4 linked regions of the Lytechinus pictus genome follow. The protein of the gene in region 2 interacts with the protein of the main gene of each other region in a pairwise test. Links are inferred from orthologs where the notes say so. Each region holds a gene or a part of one and is shown on either strand. Other genes may lie near its edges.

Region 1 (7,470 bases), on a different chromosome or scaffold from region 2:
TATTTGTTCATTATTTCATACATGTGTGAATAATATGTCTCCCTTATAATGAAATAAGTTGCAGCAATAAATATCTAATGCACTAAATCAGTTGTCAATCCAATTTTTGTAGTTTTTGGAGGACAAAATTTGAATAAACCTAATTTCATATAATAAAATACAAAAGAACAAGTGGGGATGTGACATCATCAGCCCAACTAATGAATATTCATGACGACTGTTTTCACAAAATATTGCTAAACTTTAAAATTCAATAAATTTATTATTTGTTATCCGATTTTGATGAAATTTTCGGCCTGGACCATCCCTTTAAGGGGGTCAATTCAGGAAATCCTTGTCAAAAGTACCGTTTTGTTTCCAATACTTGTTAAGGGTAGGGTTTCACAGACCAATACTTGTTAAGGGGTGCATTTTCAGAACATGGAAAATACTTATTTGGGGTGCTTTTCGAAACCCCATGGTCACGCATGTTATCCACTCGTCGATGGAAGTGCCCCCCCCCCCCCCCCCCCCGGGCGCTAAAACAAGTTTAACGAAGCAAAGCTATCTTCAAAACTACATCGCGAGGTGGTTTTCTGAACCGGTTTGGAAGATCGCTTCCAAGACCGCTTCGACCGTTCTCATTACACCTTAAACTAGTTTCCAGTAAACTAGTTTTAGGACGGTAGTGAAAACGGTGTCTAAATCCCAGGGCCCCGTCTTACCAGAGTTGCGACTGATTCGATCAACCTCAACTATATGAAAATCCATCATTGTCACAATTTTTCCTATCAGAAATTTTCAAGACGTCCTTCGTAAACAAGGAGGAAGCACAACAAATTGTCAAGACAACGATGAATGTATATGGGTATCTAGGAAATATTTTGAACAAACATGCATTTTAGATATGGGCGTTGTTGGCTTTCCATAGTTGTGGTTGATTGGATCAATCGCAACTCTTTGTAATACGGGGTCCATGAATGTTTTATACCTTTAATGTTATCCTACTTTCGTTTTGCTGTGAACATTGTAAACGTACATTAATCTGAGCTAATCTATCTATTTGCCAAATGTTATTACTTGGTGTTAATCAATTTTATCAAGGCTATTGTTGCTTTGCACTTCAACATAATTCATGTTTCACCAAATGTCATCAAGAAATTCATAAAGGAATTGTATTATTATTTCACCCCCCCCCCTTCTTATTGTCCAGTCTGTCCGGACTTCATACCGATATGACCAAGCTGAGTTATCAGGCGATGGATAATATTAAGTTGACCTTCACGTCAGATAACTCTGTTGTTCAAGACGGCTTTGTAGCCAAGATTAAAGCAGTGAAGATATAATTGACAACAAGTGAAAGACGGAGGTACCTTCATGACTGAAAGGACGGCACTCCATACATTTCCTATTTTCTGTGGATGGGGGTTCTTTTCTTTTCTTCCTATAAACTTGATAAGTTTTATTGATGATGATGACGAGGATTATGATAATAAATAAGAAGAAGAGTGATGATTGATAACAATAATAATGATAACTATAATAATAATAACAATATTCAATCTGGCTTGATTGAATTTATCACTTTTGGAGGTACTGAGACCAAGGGGTCTTTGTCTCGGGTTTGACTCCCGGCATGGCACTCTTGTCCTAAGGCAACGCCTTTTTATCTAAGTTGATCGCACATTAAATAAATGGAGATTCTAAATGTATTTTGAAAGAAACGTGTGCACGTGTTAAAAAAATCCGAAAGTGAGAGCTACGACTTTCTAAACTTCTTTAAACCTAAGTATACAAACCAGCAATATTTTTTTCTGTTTCAGACATCAACTTCTTAATTTCGCCCGTAAACGAAGAAAAATATATTGCACATCGAATTGACTCAGATTCAGAGACATTATTTTGAATATAAAGAAAAAAATTGCATATCATTCATATAGCAATATTAAATTTTATTTGTTCCTATATAGGTGATCTATATCTAATTATATTGATACAATGTTTGTAATAATGGGTTTCTTTTCTTGTGGAATAAAATAACAAGTATCATGCACCGATGTTGTCTACCCTAGATATTCTGTTATGTGTTTATTGAGAGATGTGGTGGCGAACAACGACGGGCACGACTGGTATGTAAAGATCTGTTGTTTTGTGTCTGCTTGTCTGGTATCTTTCAAGTTATTGCAATTGATTTTTTTTTAAGTGAGTTGTTGATAGGAAGATTATTAATTTATAGTTTTCGGTGAATCTTCGGTTGGTCGGTTAATTATATTTTGTTTAAAAACATGATTGATTGATTGGTTGTTTAGATTAATTGATTGATTGATTGATTGATTGATTGACTGATTGATTGATTGATTGATTGATTGATTGATTGATTGATTGATTGATTGACTGATTGATTGATTGAGTGAGTGATTGAGTGAGTGAGTGAGTGAGTGATTAGTTGGTTGGTTGGCTGAGTGAGTGAGTGGGTAGGTGAGTGATTATAGTGTTTAGTTTGTTAGTTTATTTGTTATTTGGAACATTTGGTCGGTCAGTTGGCCGGTTTGGTATCTATATAGATGAGTGAGTCAGACAGTGGTACGTGGGATTGGTGGATATTTGATGGGTTGGTTGGGTGGGGTGAGTGCACTTGGATGATATAGTTTGTTGGCCGGTTGGGTGAGTGTACTTGGCTTGTCGGTTATTTGTGGATGAGTGACAGTCCAATGGCGTACCGTGGGTTACATTTATTTGCAATGGAACATTTTTTCGCGAACTTACCCAGCGAGTTACACTTTAAGACCGAGTACCGTTTAAGACCGTAACAATCCTTCATATTCCCGATGATTCTTTTTATTTTATTTTATTTTTTTTTTTTTTTGGGGGGGGGGCTGATTTCCAGTCGTAAATCACCCGGGGCAGACTACCCTTGCCCCTCCCCCGGCTGCCGCACTCGGAATGAGTCGGGGTATCAAGTTTCAATTGTTTAAAGATCCTTCCAAAACCCCAAAGGAGTCACAGGATACATACACCAATACAATGATTACATGAATAAGATACAGTTTTATCAAAGCCCTAAAGGACAAGTCCACCCCTCAAAAAAAAAAATTTGAATAAAAAGAGTAAAATCCATCAAGCATAATACTGAAAATTTCATCAAAATCAGGGATATAAAATAAAGGAAGTTATTATATTCCAAAGTTTCGCTTAATTTCACAAAACGGTTATATGCACATCCATGGTCGGCATGAAAATGAGGGGATTAATGACATCACTCACTCACTATTTTATTTGTATTTCATTATATGAAATATGGAATATTTAAATTTTCTCTTTATTGTCATGTGAAACAAAATCTATTCCTCCCCGAACATGTGGAACTACCATTTTTTAAATCATTTAGCGGTTAAATAGTCAAGTTGGTATATATTGTCAAACCTGTATAAATTGAAATATTGTATAATTCAAACAATAAGAAACAAAAGAAATAGTGAGCGAGCGGGACATTGACTCTCTAATTTGCCAATCACTGAGTTGTGCATATCACCGATCACTGTTTTGTGAAAAATAAGTGAAACTTTAAAATGCTGTATAGGCCTACTTTTTTAAATTTTACTTCCGATTTTGATGATTTTTTTTCAGCATTAGGCTAGTCTGAATTTACTCTATTTATTCAAATTAACATTTTTCTGGGATGGACTTGATCTTTAAGCAAATTAGGGAATGTAAACTTGGCAAATGTGAACATGAGTATGAATATGAACATGAGTTTAACGTACATTAAATGGGAAATACTATAACAAATGAAACAATAAAAGTACAAACATTAAAATGCAACATCAAGAGAAAACAGTTTGGCGAAAATAGTTTGACACCAGTGTGCATGGTGGAGTCAGCCAAGCTTTTCATGACATCAGATGGAAAAAAAAAGAGGGTGTGCATTTTTAGGCATGTTAGGACAATGTCGAAGAGAGAAGATCTTTATGGTTTACATTTTATAATAAGTCGATAAAGTCAATTAAAGACTTAACAAAAGTCACCACCAATCCCTGATTTACATAAAGAACATAACCCTGTGTCAGTCTCTTTCGGAGTTGTCATATTTACCAATTACAATGGTAGGTCTTGTGCTCCCTGTTCTAAATTCACATAAATGATGCCAAAGAGCGGGTGGGAGTTTAATCAGATTATTTTCCGAGTAGTTTTTAAAAATTCGATATTTCCAGGATGCGTTGGAATTTTGGATATCTTACTGACTCGAGGACCAGTTTTGGCGGAATTGATTATTAAGTCTTAAAATAATGGTGACTTTTATTTTTAAGTCAGTTTAAGTTTTTGGTGAACCTTACGAAAGAAAAGCCACTATGATCTAAAATATTGTGTACATCATTTAAGTCTACTTAACATAAAATGATGGATGTTAAAGTCAGTGACTAGGAATAATCCTACTCGAGCAAGTAACTGCATAAATGGGAACCAACCCAAGTCACCATAAATCATATAAGATGGATTTTTTTTTTTTTTAACGCGCAAAATGTACTTACAAAATTTCAGATGGAGTTTTTTTAATCAGAAAAGTATTTTTAGAAATCGTCACCCAATCACTGATGTGCACAATTCGCAAGTTCATCAAATAGTGATCCACAAACACTCACGGATGCTAGATGACTGTTCGCAAAAGTGACGAGGATGCGATGGAGATTGGTGATTGGTGAAGCTGATATAGCATGCAGAAAACGCTACTTCATTTCTATCGTACGGGGAACCATGGACGGACACTGTTTCGGCTGCGCTTCAAAGTTTGGATTTTTCACCAGAGAGGTAAGTTTGAAAATGTGAAATTGTGGGCATGATCAAACTCCAAATTGACGTTGTTAGAAGATTCTGAATAAAACAACGTTGGGCACGAAAGTGTCGAAACATACCTACATAGTTTCAGCAATTCACCATTTCAGGTCAATTATCCATATGTCCCACATACAGTTTTCTGCGTAAGTTCATGTATGAAAAACTATGTCTGATTGTTTTTATGATTGGAACCACTCCTAGTCCTAGTACCCATGAGGTCCAAACATTAACATGTATGGACCTCAGTCAAAGTCAAAGTTGGCGGTAGGATGGGGGGTCGGGTGTCCGGACACTTTATATTTTTGAAGCCTTCTTTTTTGTCTTTGAATTACACTAAAAATATGAATTCAATAGTTGTAATCATTTTCTATTTTGTTCTCTATAATATTTTCTAAAATTTTGTACTAAAATTTGATGAAACTTCGCTTGTAATTTTTTCCAAATGACTTTCTAAAATTGATCGTCCGGACACACAACCTGTCCGGACACACAACAACTGGGTATAATAGTCAAATATGACTGGTCGCCACTCGCCATTAATTTCCAACAAACAACAACAATCAACATAGGCGACATTACCCAAATTATGGGTTGGACAGTCATCACCCATGCCCATGGCTACCGGCTACATCTCTGCCGCCGACTACAGAATAATTGAAGGCACGGCGCATTCAACAAATAACGTTATTTTCCGAAAAATGAATACGAGGACTTACAGAATGAAGTCCTCCTACGAAACTTACCAAACGATGTGAAGTCAATTCCTCAATCCTCATAATTTGATGAATATCCCTCAAAATGCGTCATTTAAGAAGCGTTGATTTTTCTTCGCGTTGACAAAATACGAAAGTCACCTTTCTAGCTCTCAAATTTTTTGTCTAATGAGCGAAAGAGGGCGCGCGATTTATCTTCATATCAAAGACACTACAAGGGAAAGACTAGACACAAAAATTATCTTACACGTAAATCGATGCAAAGCGTTACGCAAAGTTGGCAAAGTGTTCAATCTTTTTACTGTAATTTTTGTAAAGACTTTGGTGGAACGTTAATTGACAAACGACTGGTAGCACTTGCGGGGCTTTGTTCAAGGTACATAGAATTTTCTATATTTTTTGTTTAATTTGTCATCGTTTTGAATATTTTCCAAAAAGTATAATCGTCAGCAAAAATAATAAAAAAGTATGTTTTTTAAGTTATTGCATTTATTGGGGTCTCTATTTTATCAAACAATTATTGGAATTGCGCATACAATGAATCATGAATCTAGTTTTAAAAAAACCACCAAGCTGAATTAAGGTTGTGAACTGTATTAGCGCCACCAACGACCTCCTTTTTATTTCCGTGGAAGAGACGTGCGAAGCCACTTTCCAGGCAGAGGTAAGCGATTTTGCTCTTTTTTGTGTCCTTTTAAATTAAAAAAATATGTTAAAAATTGAAAATGGAACGCTTTATACCATAAAAAGCCCTGGTGAGTAGCGGAATGGGTTTCGGCTAACATCATTCATGTTATGAAGCGATGTTAACAACAACTCTAAAATCCACTACAAAAACACGATGGTTGTGCGAGGTTCGTATAGAATATACTAACCTCGCAATAGTGTGAGTGGACAGTCATAGTCTTGAGGACTCCATGACCATGATGATGTCTTTAAAAAAAAAATTGACATATACTTCTTCATCATTGGAGTCTTGAATCCCCTCACATATCACCCATGGGTACATTACTGCCGCAGTGCACAGGATAACCACTGGCACAGCACTTGCAATAAGTATATGCCTATTTTGTTAAAATTAGAAATTGATCTATATTTTAAATCAAGTAAGCTTTGGTCTTTGGAAATGAAACTTACCAAACGATATGAAGCCAATTTCATTTCCTCTAGATCTTTCTGGTACCTTATATCGATGATTTTTCTTGATGTCGAAGCAGGCATGGAGCTAATTCGCTGGTTTTCTCTATACGCACAGAGAGGGTGCGCGATATTATTTAATAAACTTGCTTGTTTACGTCAGATCAGCTGTACTGCTGGTTGCGTTCTAGGCGCTCCGCATTTTTTTCCCTCTGTTTTTTTTTCGCTGTTCAGCATTATTTTATGATGTAGCGCCATCAGCGATTATGAAATGTAAAAGCATGGTACAATTTCCTATCATGCGCCGACGGCTTGAATCTAGACTGTTCGATAGGAAAAATTCGCATTTTGATTGTTGTTTGCGTAATTTCCACCGCAGTATTAAGGATCGGACGGAGTATCTTGGCTGAGATTTGGAGGTAAGCGTTTAAATCCCTTTTTATAGATACGTTCGAGCACATTTTTAAAATTAAATTAGATGATAAGATTTAGATGAATAAATTTAGTATATTCTGAAGATTTTGGCGTGTTTCATTCTCTCACATTCGTGTGATGAATGAAAACGTCAAAATTCATCATGAAATGACATGCGTTGTGCGAGGTTAGTACAACTAACCTCGCATGCTTGTGTGAGTGCTCCCATAGTATATGCATAAGAGAGACATGTAAACAAAGATGGATTTCCCTAGGAATCCATCTTTTTTATTAAAAATCATGTAAATGATCGTGATTTTATTATTCTCCACACCTTCCTACGCCTAATGCATGAGAAGGTTTAAAGAAATATTCAATTAAAATGTGAAAAAAT
Region 2 (7,493 bases):
CCAACCTTCCAGAAGTCAAACAATCGCTTTACTCGAAGCATCATTGCAGAACAGAATAAGCAAAACGTGTCTATTTTACATCTTGAAAGTCAAATTTCTCCTAGGTCAAACAGATTTCCTGGGTGCCAACAGATTTGACCTTAGAAGGGTCACCTGCAGTATGTTTACACTGAAATAATCATTGGGTTAACCTACAAATAGCACAACCAATGTTCATTGCATAAAGTAATATTGGATCAAATGCTTTTATATAAAGACTATCTATACAAAAGTAAAACGGCTTTGAGAGATATATATTTTAGAGTAAATTGCAATAAATCAAAGGAGAGGTTCGGTGAGTGGTATCGTACTGTCTTCATTAATTTTTATGGCAATTGCATAAATGTATCAAACAATACATATAAAAAGAAAAATATTAGGCTCACATCCCATTGTGCTAATGTCGAATGAAATCTGTATCTAATTCTTATTGCATATTTTTCTATAATACTTACAATTTACATTTTGTGTTCCGTTCATGCTAATGTTTTACAGAGAAATTTCCATATATTTCATGATGTCTAAGTAGCGTAAAAAGTGATTTTGATTCAACACTTTTGTATAACGATGATTCACTTTATGATTCTCATGTCAAAATGGTCAGTAAACATATTGACTTAATTTATTTTGTACATGTAGGTCTCCAACTCTTTACATACGGTATATATCGATAAATATACTAGCATTTAAATTCTGACAATGTTAAAATTTAAGTGAAATGTCTGCTTTTATTTTAGTACATACCATATTATCTGCCAGTAAAGTAGTAAGCAAGAGTCCATCATCTATTCTAAACAAGAACTTACCCTGCATTTTGCATAAGGTGGGTTTAATTGCATACAAACTTCTCCACACCATGGCATTACAAATCTACTTTCACAAATTTCATCCTAATAAGTTGGTGGAAATTGGATTCTTCCTGCATATACATATATTCTGTATAGAATCATTTTTTTCCTCCTCTAATTTTCAACTAACGTATGTGCAGCACCAAAGAATCTAATAGGTTAACAGATTTTGTTTTTTGTTCTTTGTCCAACTGGGTACCTACATAATGTACAAACTGTCTACCTAATGTACCAAACTAATCATCCGTCAATCTAGAATCTAGATTATTTTTTTCAATACTTATCAATATATATCAGAAATCTGTTAAATTTTTACACAAACAGCATACTTGTATAATTGCTTATCTTGTACAACTGCAACAGCTTTGGCAAGTCTCTTATAAATAATTGACATTATGTATGGGAGAATATAAGTATAGCAGACACAATAGTGCTCCTCATACTTGATCCTTTACACCATCTGCACAAAAGGTTGGAGATTTTGATTTACCTTTCAGTACATCTGACTTTAATAGTGGAGGCATGTTATGGCAAATTAATAGCAACATCGATCTGGCGCTGCACAGTGGCTACCGGGCCCACAATTAATTGGGCAAAACAAATTATATTCAGAGGATTTTTATTTCAAACAATAAAATCTGGATTTTCTGAACAAAAAATGTATTAGAATCCTAACTCTAACTCTATGCCCTCTGAGATAATAAGACTGGACCAAATGTCGCAGGAGCAAATGCCGTGACGCCCCAAGAGAAGGAGTACTTCTATAAGACACCACACAGAATCGAGGCAAAAAAGAATATTGCATGTATGTCTACATTCCAATATCGTGGTATAATCACTACTGAATTATCAAAATCTGAACATATTGGTACATTCTAAATATTAAATTCTGTGTAAATTCAATAAGCCAGCTGCAAATCAAGAATACTGTTTTATGTCCAAGGTATATATGGAAACCAAAACGAAGCACAATTACATGTCACTATTCAAACAAATATGAAATACTGATAATTCAATTGTAAACAATGATTAGGAAGATGATAATAATAATAATACTACTTAATGATAACAATGAGAGATCTAATCAAAGTCAGAGACACATCTTTCATGCTGGAATTTCCCATCTCTGTTTCCCATCTCTCAGATGATATCATTGCATTATTCACAATTTTCCCATGTAATGTATGTTAACTTTGTATGTGCCTCGTTTTGTTTTTTATAATGAATGGAATAAATGCTATCAAATCAAATCCAATCTATTCTAATCTAATAGCTAGATGTATCTGCAGGCAAAATAATACAAAGGAATGTCACCAAGAAAGATATATTGTTCCTTTGAACCTGCCTACAAAAGCATAGCCTAGTGTCTTTCATGAATGGCGGTTTCCTTGTTTGTTTTGTCTGCTGTTTTATATGGGAATCCTATTCGAAAGATGGCTCTGAATTTAGGTGAGGGCTTCATATCAAAAACAAAAAATGATAACATTGATAATGAATAATAATTTAGCAGTGTGAATAGCCGAGATATCAAGCATTGTCCCACTGGTGTAAATTCAAGCAGTGAACCTATTGATTGACCAAGGGGGAAGGGGGGGGGGGGAAGTGAACTATTGTTTCATCCCCCAACTTGAATGGTATGGCATCATGTATTAATACACCCATGATTGTCTCTAACTACATACGGGTCTTTGCTTTAAAAAAATCCCAACTTTTCAATGTCATAACATTGAGAAGGTATTTACCAGTATTTACATGAACCACCAGTTTCACATTTTCCCGATCCTGGTTTACACCTCTCTGCCTACAACTCTGCAATCTATGCCTTCCCATTTGAGATGAGGATGCAAAAGCAGCACAATATAGTTTGCCAAGTTCTATAAATGCACACAAAGTTAATTGTACATAGATGCTGATATTACATCTTCAATAATTTACAAATAATTGAAATCCAGAAAATATCTGCAACGTGACATAATACATTTTAAGTAGTGTTGACAGAAATTTCACGATATTATTAGTAGGAATTTGACAAATCAATGAATATTGAGGCAATTTCATATGATTTGTACGTAATAAATACAAATGGTAATTAATCAATACAAAAAACATCATTGCAAGTGAATTAAAGTTTAAAAAGATCTTCTGTCACTGTAGAATGAAATGAAAACATGTGTCAGGTTTGTCATATATCTTTCACATTCTCCAAATTCTTATCTCTCTTCACAAAATGGATGCCATCCCCTGGCAGTGGGGATGAGATCCACGGCCACAACCAAATCAGGTACCACCTGGTCCCGAAGACGTCCAGCAGGTTCTGACACCAACCTCGGTTGTACCGACGGATCCCTTTCCGCCATTCTCTGGTGGTCTGCCCTCGAAGGATGAGCGCTAAATGGTAGTAAATCATTCCCAACGATAACATGAGGCAAATAACACAGGTGCTACACTGGAGGCAAGTTAGGAAGGAGAGAGACTGCGTGAATCCAAAGATCCATCCAATGACGGGAGCGAAGAACGTAACGACCACTCGCCAATTGAGGCTGTTGAGCATCTCGTACGTGAACTCAATGTTCAGGTAGTTGGCGTAGAGGGCGCCAAGCGCAAAGTACACCAGCATCATCATGAAGTAGCGCTGGTTGTTGTGTCCTACGCATTTTCCGGTGTACAGGCAGTGGTGGTCACGCTTCAGGACACAGATGTTGCAGATGAAACAGTGGGATGCCCGAGGGGGGCTGTTGATCATGCAGGTAGGGCAGTAAGTCCAGTCCGGTTTTAGAACCGACGGGAGGATATTTGGTCCCGATGTCAAGTCAGTGGCAATGCTCAGGTAGAAGTTGCCGATGAAGTTGAAGAAGAGGAAGAGGCCGATTGATAAATGGATGTTGTAACTCTGGGAAAATGGCTCAAAGAGGGTTGGAAATACTACATATAACTCAAAGAAAATCTCAATTATCAGCTCCAGCAGAACAAAGGCCACAGGAATCTTGTCACCAGTTTTCTTTGGTATGAGTACGTCCCATTTTATCATGGCCATGATATTCCTGAAGCATGGATAGGTGATTTAGATGAATTTTGAGCTCATCTGACCTCTAGGGTTTCTAAGAAAATATGGAAAATGAAAAGAAAGTCCAATAGTCAATAGACTAATTACAACAATTCAGATACAATGACCTAAAAGTAAATTTGAATTTCAGATATTAGTAAGCATCACTTAAAATCTTCCCCTTCTTGCATGTGATATTTCTGAATTTCATCACCACAAACTTCACCACAAACATATTGTAACAGTGTATATCAGTTGAATGTAAAGTGCTGGCACTAGTACAATTTGCATTTGACTCAGATTTTCAGGGTTGGGTTTCAAATTTCATTCAGCCTTAAAATTAAGTAAAACATGTTAAGGATTAGACTTCGTTTGGAGTTCAGTGGCTAGAACTAGATTTTTAATTTAGAAAAAATATTACTTAAGAGCCAAGTTATATGATGGATAGCTGTAATGGAAACTGGCAGTGTCAAAAAATCAAGCATAATTTGTCCCCAAGAAAAAGAGAAAATAAGCCAAAGCCCCAAAATTGGCATTGCTAACCTTAATCATTTCATCACAAAGAGAACAAAGTCAAAGAACAGTTATAGTACATAACCTTGTTCATTGTGAATGAGTGATTAGATTGTGACTGAAATTACTACAACACAACAACCAACCTGCGAATAGCCGCTGATCCTCGAATACCAGGGGAAGAACAACAAAGAAGAAGAAGAAGACTGATGAAGTTCAGACTCAGAGTTCGTCAAAAACTCGCACAATTCACAATGATGACAATCATTTGAATACTGACACGTATTTTAATACGTGGGGCAATGCTTAATTTCCAATGAATTCTTTACAAATTATTTGGGGAATATGAATATCGATTCACTCCAATTCGTTCTTAAATCATAGACTTTATTAAATAAAATGAAATTTAATGGTTTACCTCACCAACTTGTTCAACAACTCCGTCTGATGTCCGTCAAATAATTCTTAGACTTTCATTTTAAGCCCGCTCGTCGTTGACTGATGTCGGATGATCAATGAGAAAAGGCGATGAAGCTGAAACAAAATAATGGCGGGACCTTTGAAAAATCCGGCACATTTCATGAAACCCCCTAGCTATGGCGTTGGTAAGTATAGTAACAACATTATAAACCAGTTCATCATATTTCATGATGTTTTTTTTATTGAATGTTTTTGCTCGTTGTATGTGAGAAACTTTTGAAAAGTTCGTGAACTGAGTAGCGACTTAGTGCCATAGTGGGGATGTTGGCAGCCGCTCTGGTTAAGCAGCAAACCAGCGCCCAGCCTCGACCCGCCGCCCGGCCCCCGGCCCGGCCCGGCAGCCGGGCAGGGCGAAAGATTTGAGTTCTGAAAAGTGGGAGCGTTTCATCAACATTCTTGTCTGACAAGTTGTCAGATCTGACATCTTTCCTTAATACTGATTGGCTGAGAGTCTCTGTTTCTATGGTAACTGTCGGATAAAATGGGACTTGTCGGATAAAACTTCCGGCAAATCCTTTTTTAAGGCTTTAGTTTCATGAAACGCTCCCCTGTTCTCTCATGGTATTTATAATTAAAGTTAGATGGCAAATATAGCGATCTTCAACGCTTATATAATAAAGCGTCAAAATTTGTAGCCATCTCCTTGCATTAGTCTATATTATACGATGTGTCAAACTGAGCCTACTCTCCCGCGCATATCGTTTGTAATACGTAATAATTTTAATGCGCACAAGGTGGTCGGTTTCAAAAGAGGTGGTCGATATGTGGTGGTCTCACTATAGTATAAGGTACATAGACCGTGTAATGAAACGCTCGGGAAGAGCGCCCTACAGCGTTGAGTAAGTAACTACCTTTTTGTATCGCGAGATGGTTGTGTACAAAACATATGAGAGAAATGGTGAAGGGGTGAAGAAATAGACGATTTTTACATTTTATAATTTTTTCATTCAATTTTTCCCCCTTAAATTTGAGATGAATATATTTCAGAGGTTTCTTGGTACTATTAAAACATGGAATTATTCCCATGTGAGCCCTCTCCAAACTCCCCTCTCTCATTTTCCCCATATGTTTTATACACAGTCGCATGCCGATAAGCGAAGGTTTACTTACTCAACGCTGTTGGGCGCCCTTCCCCATAAGCATTTATCGAGCATTTCAAAAAATCGTCGAAGTGTCCGATCTTCCCCTTGTACTAGTATCTTTGATACTGAGAATGAGATACCGGTACTCCTAAGAAAAGAATGTAACATTATGACATTGATCACCATGCACCACAAGAAATGAAAGTGATGCAAAATAGAGCAGGAGCAAAATAAAAAATTGAAATATGCATAAAGGTCTATAGATCTACCGTAGAATCTATTTCCATGGATTGAGATCTTCTCAAGTGATGGAACTGAACCTAGCTGCATGCTGCCCCTATTCAACCTCTTGGCTAGTAGGATCTTCAATATCAAATGATTAAGATTTATTGATACACAGCCTTAACACAGATACACATAATATGCTTTCACCATAAATAATTGCTAAATACCATTTACAAAACATTAAAATATATTTAAAAAAGGCCGCAGAGCAACCCTGTCCTTGTATATGTATGCAAAATGAAAATTTCTATACACTAGTTACAAAATAATATCTTCTTGTCACATTGCATTTTGGTATAAATATGGAAAGTTTTATAATTTACCAAAAGAATAATCTTTTTTGACTGAAACCTTTTTTAGAAAACACATACATATAGTTGCCTTTTGCCTCTAAAAGCCCTCTATATCAATTTACTCTTTGAAAATTGAATTCCCTTTGGGAAGTGTTGCATTTCTATAGATGCGAATGAAGTCTTGTAAAATTATGAGTGTGTTATAGATCTATTACGCATTGTTGGTTGTTAATTTTGATACAATTGCTGATTAAATGTCATGTATATAATTTCCTAATTTTGAAGCATAATTAAAGTATATTTTTTGACATTTACCTATTTTTAGGTGGACCATCTTACAAGCTGCTGCCCCCATCAGCCCTAACAGTCCCAGCCAAAACAGCACCCAAGGTCACTGGAGTCTCAGGAGAACCAACAACTTCTCCGAAGAAAGCTAGAAAACAGTCCCCTCGGTAAGATCGTAACATTGATGTCTTTTATTCTTGGCTTGTTGAAGATTGTACTTACATGTACAGTGTATAATAAACAGCTGTAGAAATTGTTGATTTTTTTTTTATCGATTCAACATGCAACATTGATTCATTCTTAACAATTGAATAAGCCAGTATGTGTTCTAAAAGTCCTTATTTCCACTAAAAGTATTAGACTCATTGTTCAGTGCGTTATTTCTTTGATGATAAATATACATACACAATGAAGGGATAACACAGACATGAGAAAGATGTTATTGTGAGCTATCAAATTCTTTCCATGATATCACGGAAGAGTGTCATTTGTGACCTGCCACCCCAAGACCAACAATACATGTAAGGTACCCAAAATGAATTTTATTTTGAGATTTTCATTGAGCATGAATAAGCACACTTAAAAGTTGTAAAAATAAAATATAACTTGTCAAAATTGATCAACA
Region 3 (7,759 bases), on a different chromosome or scaffold from region 2:
TATACTGAAGTCATATAGGCTTTCATGGCGAGGTTCATGGATTTTCGCTGATGTGCGACTGGATGTTTACACACAAAATATGTATATTACGTCACTTTACATGCCTGCACGCATCCATGCAAAGTACAGCAAAGCGAGGAACAATTTCTTCTAGACCTAGGCCCTATGTATTTTTTTGACATAAGCCTATATAAAAATGATCTATTTTGCTACTGGCACTTTTTCAGAAGTTATGGAATTTCTGTAACTTTTAAGTAATTTCATGTTTTAGGACTTGAGGATTTATTTTTATGTATTTTTCATGACAAATTAAGAGCTTTCTAAATTGTTTTGTGCTCTATATTAGTTTTTTTACTATTAGTTTACTCAACAATGTCATGAACTGAAGCAACCAGCTGTAGATCTCTGGGATCAGCGGAGGAAGAAGAAAGAAGAAGAAGCAACAGGCCCCAACTAAGTTAACGTTAGCCAGGAGGCTCCTAGAGAGTAAAAATCATTTACTATTGATGCTTACTCTCCACAGAGCCAGGGATTCTATTGCATTTATCTATATATACCGCCAAAAAAACCCCTCAAACTTTCGCCCCCGAGATTTCTACTTTCCTTCTAAAAGATCTAGCCCTAGATCATCTAGATGGTATACAACTTCATTTCCGACATTTCTACGCTAACGATTTCATTTTTAAACAAGAATTCATTACGGACGCGGCGTCCGTATAACGTTAGCGATCAACAATGAGAAACAAGATGGCGGCGTAAACATTCGGGCAAGTCTCCCCCGTCTTTTCATAATATTTTTCTCATTTTTTTAATGAATTCTTGTTTAAAAATGAAATCGATAGCCAGGGCTCCACACTAACCCTTTTTTCTACTGGTCCGACCTGATCATGTCGGACCAGCACACACCCAGTTTTTCCATTTTTTACTGGTTGAAGTACTGGTCCCCAAAAATAAAGAAAAATATAAAAAAGACTTGACTTTATTTTGCTGTCTTTTATTGCTTATTGTTACCCCTCCCCCCACAAAAAAAACAGTACACACACAACATGATTCATGAGAGCCAATTTTTGAGACGCCAGAGCCATTTTTATTTTTACAAAAGAGAAGAAAATATATTTTGTATCAGTTAGATGTATAATCTTACTGGTCATGTCGGACCAGCAAATCTGGCTTTTTCTGAAAAGTTACTGGCCCAACAGCAATTTTTACCCGTCTGGGACCGTCGGACCAGTGCCAGTGTCGCGCGCTGCGATAGTGTAGAAATGTCGGAAATGAAATGGTATCCCATTTACCAAACCAAAAGCTTCAGTCTCTGTATTTTGGTTGTTCCGCTGAACTACGTTGGCTTCACTCACCAATACATAGACTGAAGAGTTGTTGGCCCGTATGTATAGACAGTGGTATACTGAACTAACATTTTTATAGGTCGCGATTTAAAACTGTTTTTAAGCAAAATTTACAGTTTCATGGTTTCCATTGCCAGGGAAATATAAATAACTTAAGTAATTGCGTACCTCTGGATGATTGAGAAATCTTTCATCTAAGACATTTTCACGGCAAGACGACCAAAAACAAATGTCATTTTAACTTCTACGGGCATTATGTCCGGGGGTAATGTAGGCGCAAATATTTTTTTTAATATGTTTTCTTTTATTCTCCCTCCGTCCTATCCCCACACCATTTCCATTAATTTTTTTTGAAATATCGAAATGGACGGCACTATCTCCCTGACCCCTCATGCTTTCTCATTATAGATAATTAAACAATATGAAAACAAATTTCTTTAAAAGAAATTATGTAAGGTAAAAAGTGTTTATAACGTTCAGCAAAAAAAAAAACACGATACAAAACTAAAATGTTAAACATATGGTAAATCATTCATTTATTTTTATTTCGTTTTCATTATAATTATCTTTTTTTTGCTGAGATTAATTTTAATCAATGAAAATTATTGTCGGATTTGGGATAACTTGAGATGTGAAACAGTGAAACAAAACAAAAAATCTGCAGTAACAAAATAGCTTATTGAATTTAAGATACAGATTAGGCCTATAGCTTACGAATCCATCACAATTATTACAAATGAAGATAAGCTAGTTCATTAAAGAAAAGATTATGGAAAGTCCATACGAAGAGGCGCATTTTAAATCGTAGGGTACGTAGGCCCTTTTCGGCCCCTATGTAATGTTAAAGCAATAATGTAGTCTCTACTCCTCAACTTTGAAATGATGAACATATATATATTTTTATATTCTTATATATACTTCCATAGATTAAGTGATCAACTTTAAAGATGACCAACGTTTATGATCATTGTAATATTCAGCATTATTTCTGTAAATAGTATTTTTTCCATTGCGGATTGCACACCTTTTTCTGTTTTAATTGCAAAGCACTACTTTATCCACTTGGACATGTTTGCAGCAATTTTCACATTTTCCTTGTCTTCGGTTACCCATCATGCAACTGAGGTATGTTTATACTCTAAACACTCACATTTGTATTTTTTGCTTTATATCTGACAAAAAATAAATAAATTAGATTTTTCACAGGCAGCCTCTCATATTTTCCTTTTTAGTCTCATACAATCAGACACTGTTGATTTTGTTTACTCCATTTAAACCCTACTTTTACCTCAACATATAACATATTAACGCATAATTTGCAAAATCATCAATATATATAGGCCTAGGCCTATGTATTCTATAAAAATACAGAATATTGAACTAATAAAATGTCGAAATTACTTAGACTTAGTTAAATCAATTTGTATGTCGGACAAGGGTCTCTTTTGTTGAAATATCAATGAAAGGTGTCTCTAAAAGGACACCGTGTTCTAAATAAGGGAAATAATGAAAATTTCGATTTTATCCAGTTACATTTGTGAATCTTGAAAGATTTTTCTCTTTTTACCTCATGATAAAGTAAGCTCCATACATCAATTCTACAATGAGTAATATTTCACTAATAAATAAAACATTATTTGATCTCCTTTTATTGAAATATCTGATTTTATGAAAAGTCGTCATTCCGAAATAAAAGGTTCAGGTGACGATGAAGACTAAATATTTTTCCGATACTATCGATATCAATTCAAACGATGTCGCGGACTTGGAAGACAAAATTGCCTTCGTGAAACGGAAAGCGCTGATTTGTCGCCAATCTTCCTATCTCAGAAGAATGGTCCTAGGACGTTCCTACGTATCGCTCATCTCTTCATGCAACAGGCCCCAGTATGTTTTGGATGTGTCGTGTGTGTCGCTAGCCAGGCGGCTTCTAGAGAGTAAAAATCATTTACTAACGTAAGGTCACTCTCATGAAGCCAGGCCTTCTATCCCATAGACCCACACAATGGAAGCCAAAACCTGAAACTTTCACCCCCGAGATTTCTACTTTCCTTCTAAAAGATCTAGCTCTAAATCATGTACATGGGATAAAACTTCATTTCCGACATTTCTACGCTCTCGTTGTTATTTTTAAAACAAGAATTCATAAAAAAAATGAAAAAATATTATGAAAAGACGGAAGAGACTTGCCCGATGTTTACGCCGCCATCTTGTTTCTTAATGCATGTATTGTACTTCCCCAACGTTACGGACGCGAGCGTCGCATAACGTTGGGGAAGTACAATAAGAAACAAGATGGCGACGTAAACATCGGGCAAGTCTCTTCCGTCTTTTCACAATATTTTTTCATTTTTTTGATGAATTCTTGTTTTAAAAATAACAACGAGAGCGTAGAAATGTCGGAAATGAAGTTTTATCCCATGTATACCCAGTGGTTGTGTGTCCGGACGGGTTGGGTGTCCGGACACATGACTTTTACTCTCAATTTTGAAAAGTTTACAAGCAATGTCTTTAATTCTTTTTAGCACAGAATATAAGAAAATATTATAAAGAACAAATATTGATGGTGAAAAAAAACTATTCAACCTATATTTTTGGTTTATTCCTGAGATAAAAACAAGGCTTCATTTCTGTTACGTGTCCGGACACCCAACCCCCCATCTTACATGATTTAGACTAGAGCTAGGCCTAGATCTTTTAGAAGGAAAGTAGAAATCTCGGGGGTGAAAGTTTCAGGTTTTGGCTTCCATTGTGTGGGTCTATGGGATAGAAGGCCTGGCTTCATGAGAGTGACCTTACGTTAGTAAATGATTTTTACTCTCTAGAAGCCGCCTGGCTATGTGTCGCGTGAATATCAATATGTATTATGACTGATATTCCTTCGCACGCGAGATGATATGAACCCATGTGTGGGCCTAGGGCGGCTAGCGGCTGGGCCAGGCAGCTTTTGCGACTAATGTTCGATGAGGCGCGATGAACTGCAGCAGGACGCGGCCCGGCTGCTTGCCTTCGGCCCACATTCGGGTTAATCCATTTACAATCTAAGCCTAATAATTTACTGCATAAACACATCTACCGAACACAAATATTTTCACTTAATCTTACTTTTCATTCGAAGAGAATTGAGTGATTTTTCTTCCAGTTTGGGTAACACGGCTCAGCAAGCTAGCATAGGTATACCGCTAGCATAGCAGCAGTAGCTAGCAGCAGCGTCTTCGTCTCTAGGCACTTTCACAATTATTATTACAAAGTTATAATAAATTGCCTCAAATTGTATAAATTTTTATCATATTTTATTTAATAAAAATTAACAAAACAAATTATATTTATTTGATATTTTCCCACTGTATTCAAAACACTTAAAATAATATATAAATCTTTCAATTTTTTTTACAGATCTCTATCCCGGAATCCCATCAAATTATCATTTGCGATATATATCGATACCGAACTACCAATTCACGATAGACTGAAAATATTTTACGGGTCAAATATAATTAGTCAAATACTTCTATTTTGGGAGGTCGTCGCTTTACTATTCAACATGACTGATACAAAGCAAGATATTACAGATCCTGCTGATGGGAAAAATGTACAAGACTTAACACAGTTTGTGAGTATCGAAGGGGGGGGGGGGGACCTTTTCTAAACTAGGTGGGTCTGGCACACAATACAGGGCTCGTGAAGTCATTGCCATTACTGGCGATCGCAATTTCTTTGCATACATTTCAAGGGGGGTTATCACAATTCTGTGATATAGGCCGAGAACTCCAGTCAGGGATTAGTCACATATATCAATTGCATGGGAGCCAAATCCCGGGGTGTAGCACATTAGTTATTCATAGACTTACTTTATCTTGTTAATCTGACCATCAATGTGTGATTCTAAGTCCTTTCTATTGAAAAAAAAAATGGAATTGTAATTGTAAAATACTAAATGTAATTTGACTGAAATTGAAAATTGCCATTGGCAATGGTTGATAATTGTTTAATTTATTGACAATGTTGTTGAGTCATGCATGAGTCATTGCTATTCATTGGTATAATGTGCATGAAGAAATTGGCCAGGAAGCGTTCGGAGAGTGAAAATCGTTAGTGATATTTAATTTAAAGTTCACAGCTGTTAATGTCTTTTATAACAGTCAGTGACTGTGCCCATTTATCAAAACTGGGTGCCATTCCCCCTTAAAACTGCTGTGCCCCTTTTTCACTATTTCATGTACTGTATGAGCTTTTAGTTTTAATGTTATTTTCGCGGATTTCCCGAATTGCCAATCGGCCGCGAATGTAACAACACGCAAAAATATTGACACATTTAATGATTTATTAGTCAGTGCCAATATCCCTAACAGCAAAGCTTTGCTATTGAAAACATTCTGTGTGGTGATAATGTGTGTGTGTATTTGAGTTTTGTCAGACATATATCAATCAGATATGATTATTTACGTCTGGGACCGATCTTTAACGTCACCATCCGAAAGACGTGACCAGGGCTCGAACCTCGAACCTCTGCATCAATTTGTAACTTCCCCACAGCTTGGATTACAGGCGCACGCCTCAACGCCCAGTTGTGAGATATGCACCTCTATATGTACAAAAAATTAGGTTTAGAAAGTACAGTTAGTGATTCAAAAAGTTAGCTAGAATTTCACTTTTTTTATATTTCTCAAACAAAATCAGAGCCTAAACTATTTTCTCACGTAATTCTATCGATATTTATTCACTCACTTTAATATTGAAATGTATTTTCCATGAAATAATTCGATTTTATTGTCATCTGATTCTCCAATATACACACATGTATTGGCAGCTATTTGCATACTCATAAATATTCATAAGTCACATGACCAGAGCTTTTAGCGGTGTAAGATTCTGTTCACAAAATTCAACATTTTTGTTCTGAAACCAACTTTTTAAAAAGTGACTCTAACAAAACACAACTTCAAAAGATTACTCTTACAGATCAAACTGTGACATGATGAATTTTCAGATCTAAAGGTACAAAAAAGTGAAATTTAAGCCACTTTTTTCCACATTTTGTAACTGTTTTTACAGGGACATATTTATGTACTTTGAGGAACATAGTTTTGCACATGATTTGTATAAGTTTTGCTTCTTTGAAATGCTGAGGAAGTGTTTCATACATCTTCCGATCGTGAATTTAACAACCCGCGAAAATGTCGGGACCCCCGCGATTCGCGAAAAATTCTGTACGCAATAATAACGGCTTGTGCATTAATTCATTCTGTCTAACTGGCTACTGATAGAATAACTTTAATTTCAAATAAAATCTTATTTCAGGCAGATTACCGGAACTTTGGTATTCATTTGGTGTAGGTGTTTCCATTAAATATTAGATTTAGGCCTATAAAAAAATTTCCCTCATGAGCCCAAAATCAGAAAGTTGGGTCAGTTGATTTATTATTATTATTATTTGTTATAACATAACATACCTTGTAACATTCCTTATTGTGGGCGTAAATTTTTACCTAAAAAATTGTATTCCCCTCTCCTTCCAATTTCTTGAAATCAATAGTGGAAGATAAACTAGTACTGGCTACATGATGACATTTGACTGCCAGCAGAGAAACTTTAAATGTTTCATTTTAAAGTTATCATACAATAAGACCATTGTCTTATTCTTGAGCATTTTATATTTATTGTTTTTACCATGGCACAGGTACAACAACTTTTGGAACAAATGCAGAACAACTTTCAAGCAATGTCTGATCGCATCATAGGCAGGAATATCCTTTCAAATTTACTTTGTTGTCAACCTTACCTCCTCCATGCTACAATTAGATTCTGATGAGAAGAGATATATCATTTATTGAAAATCTATATCAGTTTTAAAGTTTTGATGCAATCAGGTCCTATTCTAACATGCTTGTGATTTACATCTTTGATTTCTTTATCTTAGTTTTTTTTTCTTATTCAGTTAAAAATGTAAAATTTTTATTTTTTAAATATAATATCTGCAACCACAGAATAATTTGTTTCTTGTGTTTTTTGGCTAAAATATGTCAAGTGTTTATGATATTATGTGTTAAAGAGGAGGAGGTGATCTGAATACTACATATAGCTTCTATATATCTGAATATTGCCAAAACATAATTGGTAATTTTTTATTTAAAAAATAATGAAATTGTGAACCCCATTCCATAGTATTTTAACATTTTTTTCTCAGTAATTGCACACCAGTATAAAAATGTGGGATATTATTAAATTCTGGGTAGGCAACCCCTTTAACATCCTTAAAACCAACTCCTGCACTAAAAAATGGTTGAAATTAGGTTCCTTGACTGCTACTGATCTTCACTAGATGAGATGGGAAATCGCATCGATGACCTTGAGAAGAGTGTGGCTGACCTTATGATGCAAGCTGGAGTGGATGATTCTGAGAAGGCAGACAA
Region 4 (6,927 bases), on a different chromosome or scaffold from region 2:
CGAAATATAGATATCATAATTTGAAACAAATTTTTTTAAAGACTTTTCAAAACTGTCCCGTTTTTTTATATACGCACTGTATGTGTATATGTATATATTTATAAGAAGACCTAAATCTTGAATTTATATTTTATATATATAAAAGGTGTGATTTTCTTCGGCAAATTATATGATATATTACAGTCTGGCATACATAAATGCTTCTGATGACCACTTCGCTTCGTGGTCATCAGATGAGGTTACACGTCCCACATGCTCGCACTGTTACTTATCAGAAAACTTTTATTCCTGATGCCATTAGACTGTGGAATATTCTCCCTGCCATTACAGTTAACTGCACTTCGGTAGCTATAGCTTCAAGGCTGAGGTGCAGAAAATCCAATTGCGCTAAGACTGCGCTGATTTTTTTTTTTTTTTTTTTAATTCTACACGGTACGATGATACACCAACCTGGTGGACTGTACGGATGATGATGATAAAATAATGTTGGAACGAAAAGAGATTACGATGGGGAGAATGAGGAAGCAAGGGCTGATGGAAAAGAAAGGGTATATGGTATAGGTTAGGAAGTAGAGAGGAAAAAGGTGAGAGGGGAATATAGATAAAGAGGAAGAGAGGGGGGTGAAGTATAAGGAAAAGGCCCGGGGAAAAGGGAAGTGGAATCAGTCCTTACGCCAACCTGAACAGCATAATAATGCCAGGAAAATTTATAGCAAATAATTATCTCTGGATGTCCAACAATCATATTGGGGAAATTGGAAATTCAGAATGAGAATGAAGTGGAATGAAATAAATTCGTTATCAATCAATCAATCAATCAAGTGTCATGTCGGTCCACTGTTGCTCACTCTTTGCATTGTAGATCACGTATGATCCAATTAGTGCTAATTAATTTACTCATTGTAAGGATAACATCTTTGTATTTCCTTGAACTGTCTTAACTTGCTGTTATTGTCTCTATTAACCACCCTTCTACTTCCGACTTCAAAACATATTAGATGCGACTCATAATTCTTAGATAATGATGTCCCTATTCAGTTGAACGTACCTCACTTCCTTTCATTCTCTCACCAATGATTACCAAGATATTGACTGATTATGATGATTTATGAAATAATTTATTGAAAAAAAATGAATGTTTGGTTGATCACATCGCACATTGAATGAGTTGATTTATTAATTAATTGTTGATTAAAAATTAATGATTGATAGGTAAGGTTGATTCCCCAATTCAGAATTTATCATCAAGTCAACATCCTGCTCTGGACTTCATGCGTACATGTAATAGCAATCAGTCTCTCAACAGGAGGTGAGGGCGGGAGAGAGGGAGGGGGGGGGGCTAAATGTTCTGTTGACCCTTCCATCAACCTCTTCTCCCACTCGAGTCCTATCTCATCCCCTATATTCTCCCGACTCTCATGATCACATTGCTGAGATCCACGTGATAAAGTTGAAATGCTGCCCCAAATTAAGTGCAATTTGTGTTCACTCATGAAATTTGCTTAACAACAAAACTAGTCACGGTTGATCATAAATTTATCACAACACCCTTAACCCTAAAAGGACTGGGCTATTTGAGACGTATCAGGGGTGGATCCAGCCTTCGCCAATTGGGGGGCGGAATTTTTTTCAGCCACATTTTCCCCGATCGGCCGCTCGAAGTTGATTTTTGTTTGTTTCTTTGAAGGGGTATATAGTCCTAAAAGTCACACAAGCTTTAATCTTATAAATCAACGTATATATATATAATAATCTCATAAACCTTTTAAAAAAGAGCGAGCGCGAAGCACGAGCTATTTTTTTAAATTATTTTTCATTTCATATATTTTGTCCTAAAATTAAAACATTCTGGGCTATGTTTTTTTTTATCCTAAACGAGATGTGTATCCAACTAAATAATTAATATACGTTTTGATCTGATAAAAAAAATCTGTTAACAGCTGCTTGCAGTTAGCTATGAAGACGTTACATAATAATATTGTTTCAACAATCAAATAATGCGAACGCGAAGCGCGAGCTGAAAATTTTGACATTTTCTACCTGAAGAATAAAAATTCTAAGCACATTTTGTAATCATGAAAAGAATAAGTATATAACTCAACCAAAAAAAAAAAAAGACATTTACACCTAAAAATGGGACACTCTATTCATGTTTTGTAAATCATGAAAAGGATGAGTAAAGCGAGCGCGAAGCGCGAGCTTAAAATATTTGATATTCCGATCTGAAAAAGGGTCAATTTAAGCTCTGTATTTCAAGCACTTTGTAGAAAAATGGTGAGGTGGATATGGATCACTGTTAAAGGAGAATGAAACCCTTGAAACCAGCTGAATCCATATCAAAGAGAAAAATCAAAGAAACATATTGTTGAAAGTTTGAGGAAGATTGAATGAATAATAAGAAAGTTATGAGCATTCGAATATTGAGATCACTAGTGCCATGTAGATCCTCCCAACGGCAATGCGACCAAGATCTGTGATATCACACACGTACAACTCCCTCATTACTTTAGTACTTATTTCACTTATATTCTCACTTTTATAGAGTCTATCACAAGGTGAGGTGTTTTCTTTATGAGATGACAAGTACAGAGGTTTCACAACATTATATCATTGATGAATCGTTTGTCATATGATTAGAATGAGCAAAAAGAGATGTTTTGGGGTATATTTTCAGTGTCCAAATGGGAGAGTTGTACGTGTGTGACATCACAGATCTTGGTCGCATTGCCAATGGGAGGATCTCCATAGCATTAGTGATCTCGACATTCAAATGCTCATAACTCTTTTATTGCTAGTCCTATTTTACTCAAAGTTTTGTTGATCTTATTCTTTGATTTTGCTGCTTTCACAAAAGCTAACTTGCTCCAAGAGTTTCATTCTCCTTTAAATAAGAGCTGATGTGTTTCATTGTTATCATTTGAGTTTTGACATAAGACCGGGACATTCTGAGAACATTACTGTCATCATGTGAATGATAACTACCTTCCTATTTCCCTCCTAAGCGCGAGATGACACTTTTCGATATTCCATTCTGAAAAAGGGACAATTAATTTGATTATTAATATTATATTAATCTTATTTATTAATCTAATAAGCCTAATGAGAGCGTGAAATCTGTTAATATTATGGCCTGAAAACTGTACATTTAATGCACTTTTGTAATTATGAATAAGATGCATGTGTGAATAAAATTATTTTCAACAATCAATACGAGCGCAAATCGCGAGCCATAATTTTGATAAATTGTCATGAAATGGCAATTTAAGTAGTTTGTTATATAGAATTAATATTCGCTGATGTGGTTTACGTACGGTACACCATGTGGAGTATTATAGAAACAGTGGATAGAAGAAGAAAAAATAAAAAGAAAAAAGAAAAAAGAAAAGAAATGGATAGGCGAGAAAGTGGAAATTTGAGAGTAGAGTAATCTTTCTTGAATGTAGTCCTGAAAAGGACTGTAAACCAAAAGATAAGTTGAAACAGCTTATATACTCCGGTATACGAGTGTAGGATTGGAGCTGTGATTTTCTTCATTTCTTTTCTCTGTCATCTCCATCCTATAGGTTTACTTGCATACTAGTAGACCTATATATCTAACATATTTTCAGTAAAAGCCCTGGTTTTAATTTTTGAGACACACCTTCTCGACTTTAAATCCTTGTAGATAACCTAAAAATAAAAAAAAAATAATAATAAAAATAAATAGAAAAGAAAAAGAAGAGAAAAAGAAAAAAAAAGAATAAGAAAGAAATATTTGAATATTACTTTATAAAAAAAAAAATCAAAGAAAATAACGTTAATAATACAATATTTATGATGGCGAAAATAGTCAAATTGACTGATTGCCAAATAAAAAGAAGAACCCCCCCCCCCCTCTCTGTTTTGATCCTCCGATCTTCTTGGAAAATAAAACTAAATTGCCGTCTGAAAATTAGACTACATCGGGGAAGAATCTGCCGGAAAAAACTAAACTTGCCGTAAAAGACTTCTTTTTTTTCCACATTTGGGAGAAAACATATTGTTCTTGCTGTAGGTAAGTATATGTGTAATTCTATTCATTGTTAAGCAAACCTAAAATTGTTTTGATTTTATTGTGTGATGATGTAAAAAATGAAAATTATAAATAACAAATCTTTTTCTACTGTGCCATTTTGCTTTCTTTGTTCAGCAAGGCATCGCGTCGCCGCTTTGGTCCCCAGCACTTCCCGCATAGCGTCGCATGCAGACGTGGAAGTTCAAAGCGCCCTGCGTCGCGGGCTCGGCGATTAGTAAATAACGTGCAAGGAAGGTCGCCATGGCATGCTGGCGCTGATGCAGTTTCGCACCGGCCACTTTCAAACAACAAATTTCCCCACCAGTACCGTAAGTAACGGACTATAAACCGCACCCCCAACTACTTTGGACTAAAAAGAAAAAAAAAAAAAAAAAATCCTCACATTATATTTGAGGTACGAAGAAACAAAAACTAAGTCTAAGTTAAAGATTTCAAAGTATCCAAAGAGATTACCGGTATGCAGAAATCTGCTGTTCTTGATTGATTCATCTACAAATGTTTGCAAGAAAGAAAGGTCCCTACAATATTGGCCACTTACACAGTCACGGTGTACACACACACAGCACTGCCGTTCTTGTACATTGCAAACTACGATACGGTACCAGTGTCAGTACATCTTATCAAATAATGATCTGTGTCTTTCCCGCCGTAGGAGGAAGAAACATTCACATTTCTTGCATCACAAACTCACAATCACTTTCAGAATTTGTCTAGTATTCGATGTCTTGGCATGAATTTTGGATACGGGATTACAGGAAGGTTCAAGAAACAAAGAAATTGTCATTTTTTACAGTTGTTTTGACGGCTTCGTGCCGTCTCTCTCGTTGCGTGGTGTAGGTGGTATCTTATGAAAAGCAAACAGGAAAGAAAAAATAAGCTGGCGCGAAACGGGACTTTGGAGGGGATCGAGGGTTAAAATGAATAGCGCCAGCTTAAGTCGCACTGAAACCACAATACAATGCAAGCTAGCTCAGCTAACTCAACTCTTGCGCTCGATCAGCTGTGACAAAATATTACCGAGTATGCTTGGCTTCTCTTTGAACTTAGCCAGGGAACTTCGCTGCTTTGAACCGAGAATAAATTCGAAATTAGTGTCATGAAGGTGGGTGCGTTTGTTATAATCGCTTCTCATTACCCACAGCTCATTCCCCTCTAAACGACATTGCCCTGGGCGGCTACGCCTGGCCACTCGATGTGTTGTGAACTGGCAGAGGGGTTACGACGGGCTGGCTCAGACCCGTCACCGTGGATAAACCGCACCCCCGACTTTTGCTTCTATCCCGCCGAGAAAAAGGTGCGGTTAATAGACCGTTACTTACGGTTATTGCTTGCTCATGTCCTTGTCATCAGCTGTGCTGATGGTGATCGAGCGATCAAAGAAGAACCTGGCTGATCCTGATCTGTTTGTCTTCAAAATTCGCTTTCTTCTGGCATTACACAGGCCTATATGTAATTGTGCTAACCATTGATTGGTAAATATGAATGATCATAGATCCTGTTATATTTTTTTTTCATAGGTGGTTAGAACAATCAAGATGTCTGGAGCTTCCAGAAGGAGTATGGGAGGGTTTATGAATACATCCCTTCAATCCTGTAAGTGTTTGGCATGAAAATCATCTTTCTTGCAAGTGTGTAATTAGGTTTTTACAGATAAATTTTAATGTACATGTATGTACACCAGGGTCCTTTTTAAAAAAGAAATCTATTTTTATGAATTTGTCAGATCAATGGCACTTTGGCTTTCAACCAGTCTTATGAGGTGTTGCAAGAAACTTGTGATCAATTGCAATTCAATTTTTGGTCCCCAATCAATCATAAGTCTTGCAATTAATTACAAGTTTGTGATTGATTGCTATGCTAATCTGCTTCCTGAAAAAAAGAGTGTAATCTGATTTGCTACAGCTAAACTTGATCTATCAATTGTAAAATTAGAACAGAATATTTGCAAGTGATCGCAAATATTTTCTTGCAACACCCCCTTATAATGAAGATGAAGGAAGATGAGATGTACAGTTCGTATGTACTTATTAACCCTAAATAGACTGGGCTATTTCGACGCCTAAGAAGACTAAGCTGATTTGGTATAAAACATAAAGTCTTTTGTAACTCAAAACCAATCTGACTGGAGTTCTCAAGTGAACCTTTTTTATCACAGTCAAATCAAGACTATAGCCAGACAGTTGTTGGACAGCCTTAAATAATAATCTGTATGTTATAACTTGATTCTGAATTGGGGGAGTGGACAATTTAGTGAGAAGGGGGAATGTAGTAAATAAGAAACCCATAAAATGAGTGTGCATCAGAGGTTTAGCTAGAAGAAAAATGAGTAATACTTTCTAAAGAAAGTTGGAATTGGTAAACATATAGTTTCCTGTTATACTTCCTGCAGAAGAATTGATTAAGTATTAATTACATACATGTATATGTAGGTATTGATATATCAATGAATATGTGAGATATCACATAACACAATGATCATCAGTATTTTCAGAGTAACAGGACTCAGCAGCTAAAATATATGAAGGTTTCCATGGTAGTAGTTGAAATCCATGGCCTGGAATGGCCACTTCTTGGCTTAATTTGCATCCTCATTATACCAAAGTTACCTTGATCATTCATAATTAATAAAACGGTCCCCTTGGACCATGTGACAGATGTGACCTGTTTCAAAACTTCGCAGATTGAGTTTAAAAGCTTCCAAATGAATTCTTATTAAAATTGATTTACCTTTTTTTTTTTGGGGGGGGGGGTGGTAAATAACAGTGAGGAATTGAAGTGAACATGTATCTAAAAAAATATACATATGTCAAATCAATTATATGTTTTAATTTTTATGTCTGTGTGTATGAGTATTGTAAATCTGTTTTATCCTT

The links.
Region 1: the proteins of coiled-coil alpha-helical rod protein 1-like (region 2) and abscission/NoCut checkpoint regulator-like interact in binary tests that used the Homo sapiens proteins (3 or more experiments, as listed by UniProt). The link is inferred for Lytechinus pictus from reciprocal best matches to the Homo sapiens genes CCHCR1 and ZFYVE19.
Region 3: the proteins of coiled-coil alpha-helical rod protein 1-like (region 2) and heat shock factor-binding protein 1-like interact in binary tests that used the Homo sapiens proteins (3 or more experiments, as listed by UniProt). The link is inferred for Lytechinus pictus from reciprocal best matches to the Homo sapiens genes CCHCR1 and HSBP1.
Region 4: the proteins of coiled-coil alpha-helical rod protein 1-like (region 2) and SWI/SNF-related matrix-associated actin-dependent regulator of chromatin subfamily E member 1-like interact in binary tests that used the Homo sapiens proteins (3 or more experiments, as listed by UniProt). The link is inferred for Lytechinus pictus from reciprocal best matches to the Homo sapiens genes CCHCR1 and SMARCE1.

The regions. Positions count from the first base shown.
Region 1 is NC_087251.1:11,212,168-11,219,637, forward strand, and holds the start of abscission/NoCut checkpoint regulator-like, read left to right. Parts: upstream 1-4,462; 5' UTR 4,463-4,653; coding exon 4,654-4,785; intron 4,786-7,470. Other genes in the region: blastula protease 10-like, read left to right, coding at 1,193-1,325. UniProt on the Homo sapiens protein: Key regulator of abscission step in cytokinesis: part of the cytokinesis checkpoint, a process required to delay abscission to prevent both premature resolution of intercellular chromosome bridges and accumulation of DNA damage.
Region 2 is NC_087259.1:8,053,549-8,061,041, reverse strand, and holds the start of coiled-coil alpha-helical rod protein 1-like, read left to right. Parts: upstream 1-4,470; 5' UTR 4,471-4,990; coding exon 4,991-5,048; intron 5,049-6,908; coding exon 6,909-7,035; intron 7,036-7,493. Other genes in the region: probable palmitoyltransferase ZDHHC24, read right to left, coding at 3,070-3,921. UniProt on the Homo sapiens protein: May be a regulator of keratinocyte proliferation or differentiation.
Region 3 is NC_087246.1:49,267,119-49,274,877, reverse strand, and holds the start of heat shock factor-binding protein 1-like, read left to right. Parts: upstream 1-4,757; 5' UTR 4,758-4,890; coding exon 4,891-4,959; intron 4,960-7,026; coding exon 7,027-7,093; intron 7,094-7,665; coding exon 7,666-7,759. UniProt on the Homo sapiens protein: Negative regulator of the heat shock response. Negatively affects HSF1 DNA-binding activity. May have a role in the suppression of the activation of the stress response during the aging process.
Region 4 is NC_087247.1:14,971,900-14,978,826, forward strand, and holds the start of SWI/SNF-related matrix-associated actin-dependent regulator of chromatin subfamily E member 1-like, read left to right. Parts: upstream 1-3,908; 5' UTR 3,909-4,033; intron 4,034-5,571; 5' UTR 5,572-5,589; coding exon 5,590-5,647; intron 5,648-6,927. UniProt on the Homo sapiens protein: Involved in transcriptional activation and repression of select genes by chromatin remodeling (alteration of DNA-nucleosome topology).